Linked DNA regions of Schizosaccharomyces pombe. The protein of the gene in region 1 binds, or shares a complex with, the protein of each later gene. Each region holds a gene or a part of one and is shown on either strand. Other genes may lie near its edges. The genes, in order: ask1, dad5 and dad1.

What was found.
Region 2: ask1 (region 1) and dad5 share a complex: the UniProt entries of both Schizosaccharomyces pombe proteins name them as parts of the DASH complex.
Region 3: ask1 (region 1) and dad1 share a complex: the UniProt entries of both Schizosaccharomyces pombe proteins name them as parts of the DASH complex.

Annotation. Positions count from the first base shown.
Region 1 is NC_003423.3:1,561,782-1,565,766, forward strand, and holds ask1 (DASH complex subunit Ask1), read right to left. Parts: upstream 1,871-3,985; 5' UTR 1,784-1,870; coding exon 1,767-1,783; intron 1,712-1,766; coding exon 1,564-1,711; intron 1,486-1,563; coding exon 727-1,485; 3' UTR 545-726; downstream 1-544. Other genes in the region: protein trafficking protein Pga2, read right to left, coding at 1-254; protein meu25, read left to right, coding at 2,121-3,985. UniProt on the Schizosaccharomyces pombe protein: Component of the DASH complex that connects microtubules with kinetochores and couples microtubule depolymerisation to chromosome movement; it is involved in retrieving kinetochores to the spindle poles before their re-orientation on the spindle in early mitosis and allows microtubule depolymerization to pull chromosomes apart and resist detachment during anaphase.
Region 2 is NC_003421.2:1,669,361-1,672,664, reverse strand, and holds dad5 (DASH complex subunit Dad5), read left to right. Parts: upstream 1-1,802; 5' UTR 1,803-2,059; coding exon 2,060-2,344; 3' UTR 2,345-2,721; downstream 2,722-3,304. Other genes in the region: SPOM_SPCC417.03 (uncharacterized protein), read right to left, coding at 301-422, 614-662. UniProt on the Schizosaccharomyces pombe protein: Component of the DASH complex that connects microtubules with kinetochores and couples microtubule depolymerisation to chromosome movement; it is involved in retrieving kinetochores to the spindle poles before their re-orientation on the spindle in early mitosis and allows microtubule depolymerization to pull chromosomes apart and resist detachment during anaphase.
Region 3 is NC_003424.3:3,088,125-3,091,340, reverse strand, and holds dad1 (DASH complex subunit Dad1), read left to right. Parts: upstream 1-2,000; 5' UTR 2,001-2,015; coding exon 2,016-2,288; 3' UTR 2,289-2,557; downstream 2,558-3,216. Other genes in the region: taz1 (telomere length regulator), read left to right, coding at 1-104; Smc5-6 complex non-SMC SUMO ligase subunit Nse2, read left to right, coding at 644-808, 1,056-1,178, 1,294-1,758. UniProt on the Schizosaccharomyces pombe protein: Component of the DASH complex that connects microtubules with kinetochores and couples microtubule depolymerisation to chromosome movement; it is involved in retrieving kinetochores to the spindle poles before their re-orientation on the spindle in early mitosis and allows microtubule depolymerization to pull chromosomes apart and resist detachment during anaphase.

The DNA.
Region 1 (3,985 bases):
TTTTCTTCTTCTTCCTCATCATCCGTGTCAAATTCTCCATGTTCTTTGGGCTTCGTGCCATGCGTCATTTCCGGATCTAAAGTACCATCTACTTCGCCTTCTAATAAAGATTTTCTATGTTCTCTCTCCTGTATCTTGGCTCCCAACTTCATCAAATATGGCCGGATTAACATATATCCTCCAACATATACGATAATTCGAATCCAGTCCTTCAATGAATATGATTGTAAATAGCCTGCAACGTCAAACCCCATTTTCCTTGCACAAAAAAGAGTGGTGGATACTAAGTTCACCTGTCTGCTCAACCAGGCAAACTATTATTAACCAAGTCACTAAAATTCTTTAGACTTTTTTAGAATTTTTAAAACCTCGTTATTCGTCTTAACGTATATTCTCAATGATATGCTGTAAAAAGATTTATTAATTAGGCTATAATACTAATTTATTTAAAAATTTTATAGTTATTTGCTTTCTTAGTTTATTTTAAAATTATTTTCATACAAATTTTACTTGGTTTACAGTATTTATACCGTGACTTATGATTCTCTTAAAAGAAGAATTTTCCAAATTAAATAGAACGTACAGTAAATAAAAAATTATATAACATAAATATAAGGTGGGATTTTATGAAGTAGACATATGTGCTTAGAAAATAAATAGAAAAAATGCGAAAGTAAGGTTCACTACTAAAGGCGAAACGAAGGTGATAACTTCAGCAGTGCTTTATCAGAGTTCCCAACTATCTTCTTCTTTGACAAAACTATCATTAGAATCATTCAAGGTTTCTAATTTCCTCTGCAAAGACAGGCTTCGCTCGTTGGCTTGCTGAGAAGAACCCACCCCCATGGTATGCGGGCTGAATTGGATAGTTTTAGGTGGAGACATTCCACTTGGGTTAATGCTATCATAGCTTTCATGCTCAAATTCTGCAAATAAAGAAAGAGCATGCGAAGAGTTTCTATCGTTAAGTGAAGGCATGTCCATTTTCATTGATATGGGAGAAGGCGATACAAAAGGAGAAGAATCAATATCCATTACTTCTTGAGATTGCAAATTCTTAGGCTCACGTGGAGTCACTTGTACTTGCCAATTTGTATCTAAAACGCGATGCAGAAGGGCACTACGACCTGTATGAGGATTATTTTCTGGTTTTCTTAGCGGAGTCTGCATCCTTGCCGGGATGGGGGTCAAAGCTGCATCATCTAACGAAATATCCTCTAAGGAGACATCCATCTTCTTAGGAGTGGACTGTACAAAATCCTCGTTTTTTGTATTATCTCCTTGTACAGCTGCATCGGGAAAATCAGATTTTCCGACAAAAGAATGCCTCTTTTCCAAATGTTCATTCTTTGTGTGCAGCTGTAGGTCCGCCTCTGTAGAATTAGACATAACATCTTGATCGCTTGGATTGGATTCTACTGGAACAGGTTCCTCTACACCCGAAAGTGAAACATTGGCACTTGCTTCAAAAAACTGCTTCCAAAACTGTTTTCTGTTAGCTTAATTCTTAAAATAATACAAATTACAAGCTGAATCATGAGTGGCAGTTGCCATTGAACATACTTTTGAAGAGTCCCATATAGTGTTACAATTTTTTGCGTATTTTTCCACGATAGGCAAGATTTTGGTAGTCACTGTTCGATGACATTTAGAAAAATTTGCATCAATTTCGTAAAGTGCTAGAGTAATCGATTGTTCCAATCGTTCTAATCTAATTCTTTTGTTAGAGAATGTTTATCTACAGTCGCGACAAGTTTACTGCATACTGTTCCAAATTGTTCATAAGAATGACATCTAATACTCATAAAAACTTTGAAAATATTATTTCTTAGTATAGAAACTCTCAATGGTGAAATTTATGGCGAACTGCAACTGAGGTGTAGGTATACTAGCGTCCATTATTAGCGATGTTTCGTAAAGTAAACAAGTTAAATTGGCAATATACAGTGAGATTTTTGTAAGTTCAAGATAATACTAATACAATCATTGTTGAGTAATAAATATGAATTTTAAAGTTTTGTTTACTTTCCTCAGTGGACTAAATGCAGACTGCAATGATCAAATGATCCATAGTAAACAAACATTCAACTTGTCTTTTGCCAGCATCCTCAAGATCCAAAATGAGTAGTATCTTTGGAGAGAATATTGTTTCAGATAGTATAGTAAATATGGAGTTGACGAACCCTGATAATACTACGACTATGCATCCCATCTATGAAACTAACATTGAAAAGGAAGTCCAGCAGGAGTTTTCTGACAATGTCTCTGAAAAAGAAACGATTGACTCAACTAAAAGCAAAATATCTTTAGAAAATATACAGCAAGAAATGGGAGCACTTGCCAAGAAAATTTTTCATAAATTAGGGGTTAAAGCAACCGACTTGGGATTTTCTAATGAGCATGATGACTCGCAGGATTCATTACAGACACTAGCGCCTTCTCCATCATATGTTCCACTTTTGAAGGTTATTGGAAGCTCTGAGGAGGTCAATAGCAACTTGGTATTAACCGACTTGGAAACAAATACTGATGGATATGATCCTAAATTTTTGATTTCTGTTAGGAAGTTTTTGATGGGATCTCCCAACTCTGGCTTTGTCGTTAAACATGAGAAACGTCTTCCAGATGGACCGCGTGTTCTGGCCCTTCGAGCCATTTCATCAGTCGATGAAGAAAATAGAAAAGAGCGCCTATCTCCTGATAGTGATCCTGTTGAAACAGAATCTGTTTATGTTGACAATGGAGAATTGTCAAATCAAAAAGTAGAAACAGTTGAAATTTCCGAAAAAGAACAAAATGATGATCCCGCCGGATATTCTCAATACCTTCTAGAGTTCAAGAAGAGTAAATGTCAAAAGAAAGTGCCGACTTTAGAGAGTATTGAGGAAAATGAAGGAACGGAACCTCATGACAACTTGACCTTTATGACTGATTTGGGAACTCCATACTATTCTCTGGGTAATGAATTTGAAAGAAAGCAAATTTTGGATGAATACGGGTTGCTGGCTAATGATGAAAACCTAGTTATTGGACACACGTTAAGAGCGGAGTATTGCTTTATGTTTGATGAAAGCGATATCCTGCAATTACGCAATTATGAACATACAGAAAAGGAACTTAGTGTCCTTCAATTTAAAGGGGTCTCGTCACGTTGGGATTTTCGTTGCTGTAGAGAAGAACGTTTACTCCGATTGCTACTATGTTTCGACAGTGAACATACTGGGCAATCTTTCATTCAACTGAACGATCCTGAAAATGAAAATGAAAAGGAAGAACAAAATTCCATTAGCATTAGGGAATTATCCTACTTCAGCACAAAACTTATTTCATTGATCTTACCCAAAGAAGCACATAAGCAGCGGTATATCATGCTAAGCTCCTTAGCAAAGACAAGGGAAGCTGATTTCTTTTGGTCTGAAGAGGAAAAAACTAATTATACAAACGAGCTTCTCAGCAACCCATGCAAATTCCTTTGTGAACTAGATCATTTCGATTCATTTCCTCATCAACAACAAGATCTACTCTGGAAGTACTTAGCGGAGTTTTCTGCTAGTTTAGAGTTAGACCCCAACCTTGCCCTTTGGAAGAAGCAAGTTATTTTTTCAAAAATCGGTCATCCGAAGTTGCTGGTTATGCCAATATCTAGTTTCCACTGCGTACAACGTTTCCCTGACCTTGTTTGCGTTCAAACTTCAACTGCTGAAACGTTTTTGTCTGTGGATCGTGAATTAACAACTTATGACCTAAACACTATTAAGTTGTTAAACACAGCACCTAGTCGTACAGCTCAAAACTGGCTTTTTATCATGCATCACCTAGAAATTGTAGGCTATTTATTTCCACATTTGGTTCATCTCGATAAACAGTATAGTTTATTAGATTATGCAAAGTCTGTTGAGCACATTCCAGAATTGGGCACTGTACAACGAAAAGGGTTTTTGAACAAAGTCGCATTTGATGATAACGAGGCTTTACTTTACCAAGT
Region 2 (3,304 bases), on another chromosome or scaffold:
TTGTTCAACACAATCGGTCCTCCGTTTATCGGTAGCTCTTTTTTGCACTTTGACAAAGCACAAAATTCGTTTACATGCAATCATCTATTACGGATGTAAATGTCCGTCATAATCAAAGGAATGCCAACAACGCCAAGTGAAAGCGAGATGAGTTGGGAAAATAGGATCGCAATTTGACATTCCTACGTCTTCCTACGTCTTTCTTGGAATGAAGTAATCAACTCTTCGTAAATTAGCAGGGACGAGGAAAATATGCGACTGTTATCATTTTTAGCGCAATAAGGATAAGAAATGAGTGATTTAGGAAATAAGCAACTGGGAGATATCCATTATCACTTCCATAAGCGATAATGATAAACCGCAGGAAAAACACGTGTGAGCATGAAAAAGGGTATATATACATAGACGGAAAGGGGCTTCATCTTTTCTTTTTCTTTTGTTAGGGGCGTGGTGAATGGAAGTATTTCTTTGTTTTATGGGGAAGCGTACAAAATTGTGAAACGAAACGATGTATGTGTATGGAGTGTAGGAGTCATTCATTTTCATGAAAGAAACTATAATAAAAATGGGGTATATGATTAGAAAGGGATGAGTGAATGTTTGAAAAAATTACTTATAAAATGGTAATGAATATGATTAGAAAAAGCGGTATGAGGAAGCATGGTTACTAAATGAACCAACTTGATTATATAAAAAAAAAGAAACAAATTAAAAACTAATTTTCATCTAACTCAGGAATTCCTCCTTTGAAAATAGCCAAACATTAACTAAAAAAATTAAAAAAAAAAAAAGTAGAAAAAAAATGTAAATATTACAAATACTTCCCAAACTCCCATAAAGCATTCTATGACGATTTCCTTACACCAAGCAATTTTCCTGTTGGATTTTATTTGTCTCGACTGGTTTGTGTATCCCTGTTTCCTTTCTTTTGTTTCCAAGAGAATCATTTCCAGGGAATTGATACATTTGTCCATGCTAAGATAAAATCCATTGTTCGGTCAACTCACTTCCGATATATCTGAAACGAAAAAACAAAACCTGATTAGAAAAGCTATATGTTTTCACATATAAGAAGACTATATGTCAAACCCCATCCTAGCGTCGATATGAAATGGAACTCTGTGAAATGATAGATGTGGGGGACCTAAAAGATAAACCCCAGTGTAGTGAAATCTCGATGCTTTTGAAACTGAATAAAACCCGAGGATATTAAGACAAGTAGTTTATTAAAAAAAAAGGTTTTCCGATCGTAGTTGAGTAAAGTTTGAAAATTCAAACAATAATTAAAACAACGGATGCACATCACGCTGCTGCGTCTTCTCTTGCACGGACATTGACTTCCGTATGTAATTTGTCTAACGATCGTGCTCTTTCCATTTCTTTTTTCCTTTAAAATACTCATTTGCCTATCTTCCTCATAAGATGCCTAGCATGTCGAGCTTACGGAGAATTTTTATTTCCTTTGATTTGGACAAAGCACCTCATCCAACATGATTGTGATCGGAGCTTTGGAGCACTTTTCATCAGTTCCGTCTTCATCCTCCTTCTACACTTCCATGGAAATTATGCAAAACTTGATAATTCCATCCTTACCAATAATTTTGCCTATTTCCACGGAACTGACCCGAAAAATTTAGCAAAAGGAACGATTTCGGTATTACTTATTAGCTTGGAAATTATGTCTCGCTAAACCATATAACGAAAGTTTGGTTTTTTATCAGTAAGCGAAAAATTTACCGTCCCCCTTTTCCTTCTTGTCAGCTACATAAAAGATAGGTGCGCTGCGCTGGTCGCCTTTTTCTGCCACTCTTTCCACGCTATTTTACGCTCTTATTCATTTTTGAGGAATACTAACGTCGGCCGGTATTGTTGGAAATCGCTGCAATTTGTTAAATTGAAATACCACTCAAGTGGGTAATGGTCTCCTTTAATTGTCGATACTGAAGGTTGATTGCATTTTAGTGCGGTGTCTTAAAAGCTGCACTCGCCCATCACACACGCGTTTGGTTTGTTTACCTTCCATCTACCTGTCTGCCTTCTTTCACTTTCACCTTACACCATGCGTCGTTCTACCATTGTGCCAACTAGTCGAACAAGCAGTTCATCTCCATCTCCCAGTCAAATGAAAAGCTTTCAAATGAATCGTTTGGTGGACCAACTGTCCAAGTTGCAATCCAACATGTCTCATTTGGAAAACCACTTACATGTTACCGCAATTCAAGCAGAAGCCATCCGACGTCTTGGTGCTCTTCAGGCCTCGCTTCTGATGGCGTCTGGTCGCGTTATGTCCGAAGCGAGGATTCAAAAGTCTTCAGATGCTGTGGAAGAAGACGTTCCTATGTGAGTCTCCAACTTTTTTGATGCAGACCTCAAATGACAATGATAAAAAGGAGAATACAAGAGACAAAGTGCCCCAATGAAGGAGAAATATAACAGGAAAGGAAGTAGGAATGTGCTCTTTCTTAATTAGATGGGGCTATTTCTTATTTTACTGCAACAATGCGGTATTTGGGGCTTCTTTCAATATGTGGGTGTTGGAGTTGTATCAACTATGCATCCGGAATACGGCTTTTCGGCATTTTACGCTATGGGAGTTTTGCGACTCTCGGGCTGCACTCCCGAAACCTATGTTACTGCATTGTACGATGCAGTTCTGTAAAAAATAGCAGGCTAAAAGAGGGTGTTCTAGTTCGTCTAATAAGTGATCTCGTTCATTGGTCAGCTCGGTCGGCTAAGTAACCAAGGGAAACTGCAAAAATTGGATACCAGAAATGATTGGTCAATTGCGCTTCACAAAACAGTCAGTGTACCAATCATATGGTTTTTATTTGAGATAGCGCACAATCATTGGATAGCTAGCTAAAAAAAGGTAAAAGTGGTTCCTTTCGTTAGGCTTCTTTATTTTCACCTTACGATTTACCGAAGAGAGCTTCTTCGACCTCGCTTAGATGGGTGTGAACAACGCCGTCCCTTTGCCAACCTCAACGAAAAAAGAAAAGCAGGTTGTACTAATTTTAAACGTTTCAAACGATTTTGTAAATTGATTTCTTTAAGCTTTGGCTCCTCCTTATTACATACCTAATCAATAAATATCTGTTTTCTTTTGCAGTTTCTTCTTTTTTTGCTCTCTTCCAGGGAAAACGGAAATTTGATTTGAGGAAGCCATAGCGCCACCATTCCCCAATCTGTCTACAAATTACTTTTTTTTGTTCCACCACACCTCTGGATTGTATTCTAGCTTATATCTGTTTTATTTTTCTATATTTGTTTTGGTATTTTAGTTCGTTTTTGTTGTTTTATTTCC
Region 3 (3,216 bases), on another chromosome or scaffold:
AAAATGTTACTGTGGGCCAGGCCTATTGTGAACTTCATAAAATACCTTACATAGAGGCAACTCCGCCACTTTTACGGGAAGAGCTTGTTAATTATCAATCTTAATTTTTCGTCTCCGGATAGAGTTTGTTCATGATTGCTTTTTTAATGAATAATATTGACAAGACTCGGATAGTTTTGTTAATCGTGTTTTACTTTACTACTAATCTATGGAATATTTTGAAAATAACATAATTTAATTTATACATTTCACGGCCTTAATCATCCTTTATTGGTTTATCATATTGAATAGTTGGTTTAGTAATAGAGGTACTAAAAGTCAAGCGTTAATTGTCCGAAGTATGCATTATAAATTCTAATTCCAAATGAGAATATTTCATAACCCATTCATTTGTATTAAACGTGACAGTAAATAAGAATTTATTTAGTCTTTATACATATGCCATCAATCTTCATAAAAACGTACTGGAGTTTAAATTTTAAAACGTGGTTATTACCCTTGCTTAAAAAACATTCTTTTTTTATTTAAGGAAATAAGTGTTGTGGCATTTAGTTTTCATATGCAATTAATAGGTTTTCAATCCCAAATTGCGTTGTCTACTAATTAAACGTCGTAACTACTTCTTTCTCGAATGGAATCGTAAATGAGTGAAGCACAATTAAAAACTTCCTTGGAGGCTTTAAGTCAAAATTTATTACCTGGAAACCAAAATCATTGCAGTTTCGACTTCCAATTGAAGGAAATTGACGATTCAATTAAACAGGTGATAAAATGTGCTCTAGTTGCTGCTGAGATAAAAAATAATGAGGTATGTGTACCATTATTACGAAAGATAATGGAAAAAATTAATATGAATTGCTTTTAAAACTCGAAAGTGGTGTTATGTCGAGATACAGTTTTTTAAAAAGAAGTTCGCTGTACAAATATACATACAAAAACATTGTTTAACTAATATTTTTCTTCCTCTTATTTCCGGCTATTGAGAGAGAGCCTAAAATAGACATAATATGACATGCTGCTTACTTTATGACTTCTGACTAACACTTGCCTTTTAGTGTTTGGACATGCTTGATAGCGGGATCCGAGAGCTGTTGGATGCAAAGCAGAGATTGTTATTGATGCAGCAATCGGTGGATACATTGGCTAACAAAACCAGTGAAAATATAAGTGATTTTGAAGTACGTACCACGGAAATGACTTTCCTACTTTTTCTATTATATGTAGATGAAGTAAAAACATCAATTTAGACGTATTTTTTTACTGTTTCATATTCAATTGTTCTAACAAAATTAGAATAAAAGTTTGTTGGATATTTATACACAAATTTTTAAGGAACTCATTCAAGAATACGAAGAAAAATCCGACTATGGTAAATATGGCACACAAGGAGAATACATTGAATTTAAAAAAACCATATGGCATGAGCAAAATACAGACGGTTCTGACTTTCCTTCTATGAAAACATTTTTTAATGTCATGAACACTGAAGAACAGGAAGCAGATGAAGTGATGGTATATTCAGCTACCTTTGATAACAGATGCCCTTTAACTTTACAACCAATTGTTCACCCAATATTATCGACAGCCTGTAATCATTTTTATGAAAAAGATGCTATTTTGTCTCTGTTAAATCCAACTTGTGTATGCCCTGTTGTAGGATGTGAAGCTCGTTTACAAAGGTCTTTACTTAAGGAAGATGAGATTCTTGAACGCAGATTACGCCGCGCTCAGGAAATAAGTAATTTAAAAGAAGCTTAGTCCTTTTCTATTTACATTGTAGTACTGATCCGGATTTATTATTATTATTATTATTATTATATTTAATGTATTTGTTTATTCCAACTTGTAAATATGCATAACATGTCTCTTTTGACTAATATTCTATGCTCGTACGGAAGCTTCAATTTTGGCATTTAATTATGAAGATAGTTAAATCTAATATAAGATCTACTTGATTGTAACCTTATGATAAACTTTGGCTCATGCTTGACTTTGACACTAGCCATTAACATACCATGTCCTCAGAAAATATGGATATTACTGAAAACATACAAAATGAGCAAAATAAAGATTTTGATGATATAGATTTTGAAAGAAGGCGTCGTCTTTTGACCTTACAAATTTCAAAAAGTATGAATGAAGTTGTGAATCTTATGTCAGCTCTAAATAAAAATCTTGAAAGCATTAACGGTGTTGGAAAGGAATTTGAAAATGTCGCGTCTCTTTGGAAGGAGTTTCAAAATTCAGTGTTACAGAAGAAAGATCGTGAAATGCTAGATGCACCTTGATGGTCGTTCTTTTCTAAATGTATTTTCATTGCCGCTAAACATATGCCTTAACGCAGTTTGTTTCAAAGAATTTGCATATTAAATTAAATTATTAGTTATTATATGTTTTTTATGAATCTATAAATTTAATAGCGTCCTCAAAAATTGGTCAAAGGTCAGGATTCTTTTAAATTAACTTACATATTACAATACACAAACCTTAAGTCACTTCATTAATAATGTGTTTGTATATATATATTAGTTTTTAATCTTCCTATATTCTTCTAAAAGCTGCCAATTTTTAAATAAGCCGTTCATCGTCTGAGAGGCAGAACAACTGTTGATGTTAATATTTGCATAGTAAACTTTTTCTTTACTACTATACGAATCCTTTTAGAAATTACCATTTTAATGGTATTATTTAAATTATAAAAGGGGTTTAATGCAGTTTAGCATAATAAAAAGGTAAAAGGAATCATAAGTATTCATTTCAATATCTTCTATATAACTATCGTTTTATTCACGACATGAATACCCTGAACCAGTCAGGGTTAAAAAACCGATTTTCAAAGTTTCGGACAAATATAGGCATATTTGAAGTAAAAGTAAAAAAAAACATTAAGACCAATTGATTTTTGCTGACATATATTCAGAATCAAACAGATAACGTCTTAATAAACAAATTATAAATCACAAAATAGCTCCAATAGTCGATAATCCATCTAAACCATATTGGCTAGTTAAATACCTGAAAAGATAAAAAGTTGAGATAGGAGCAAAATTCTGAAAAGGAAACTGCTACACAATATGCTTAGATTAAAAGAAAGCATACAAGCATAATGTCTCTATTGCAGCAAACGTTTGGAGTATTGGTTTATATGCAATTAGCAATGTTAGAATGCGTAAATAAAGCGTTTTTCTTGCTTCTTATGTTCCAACAATCTCATCA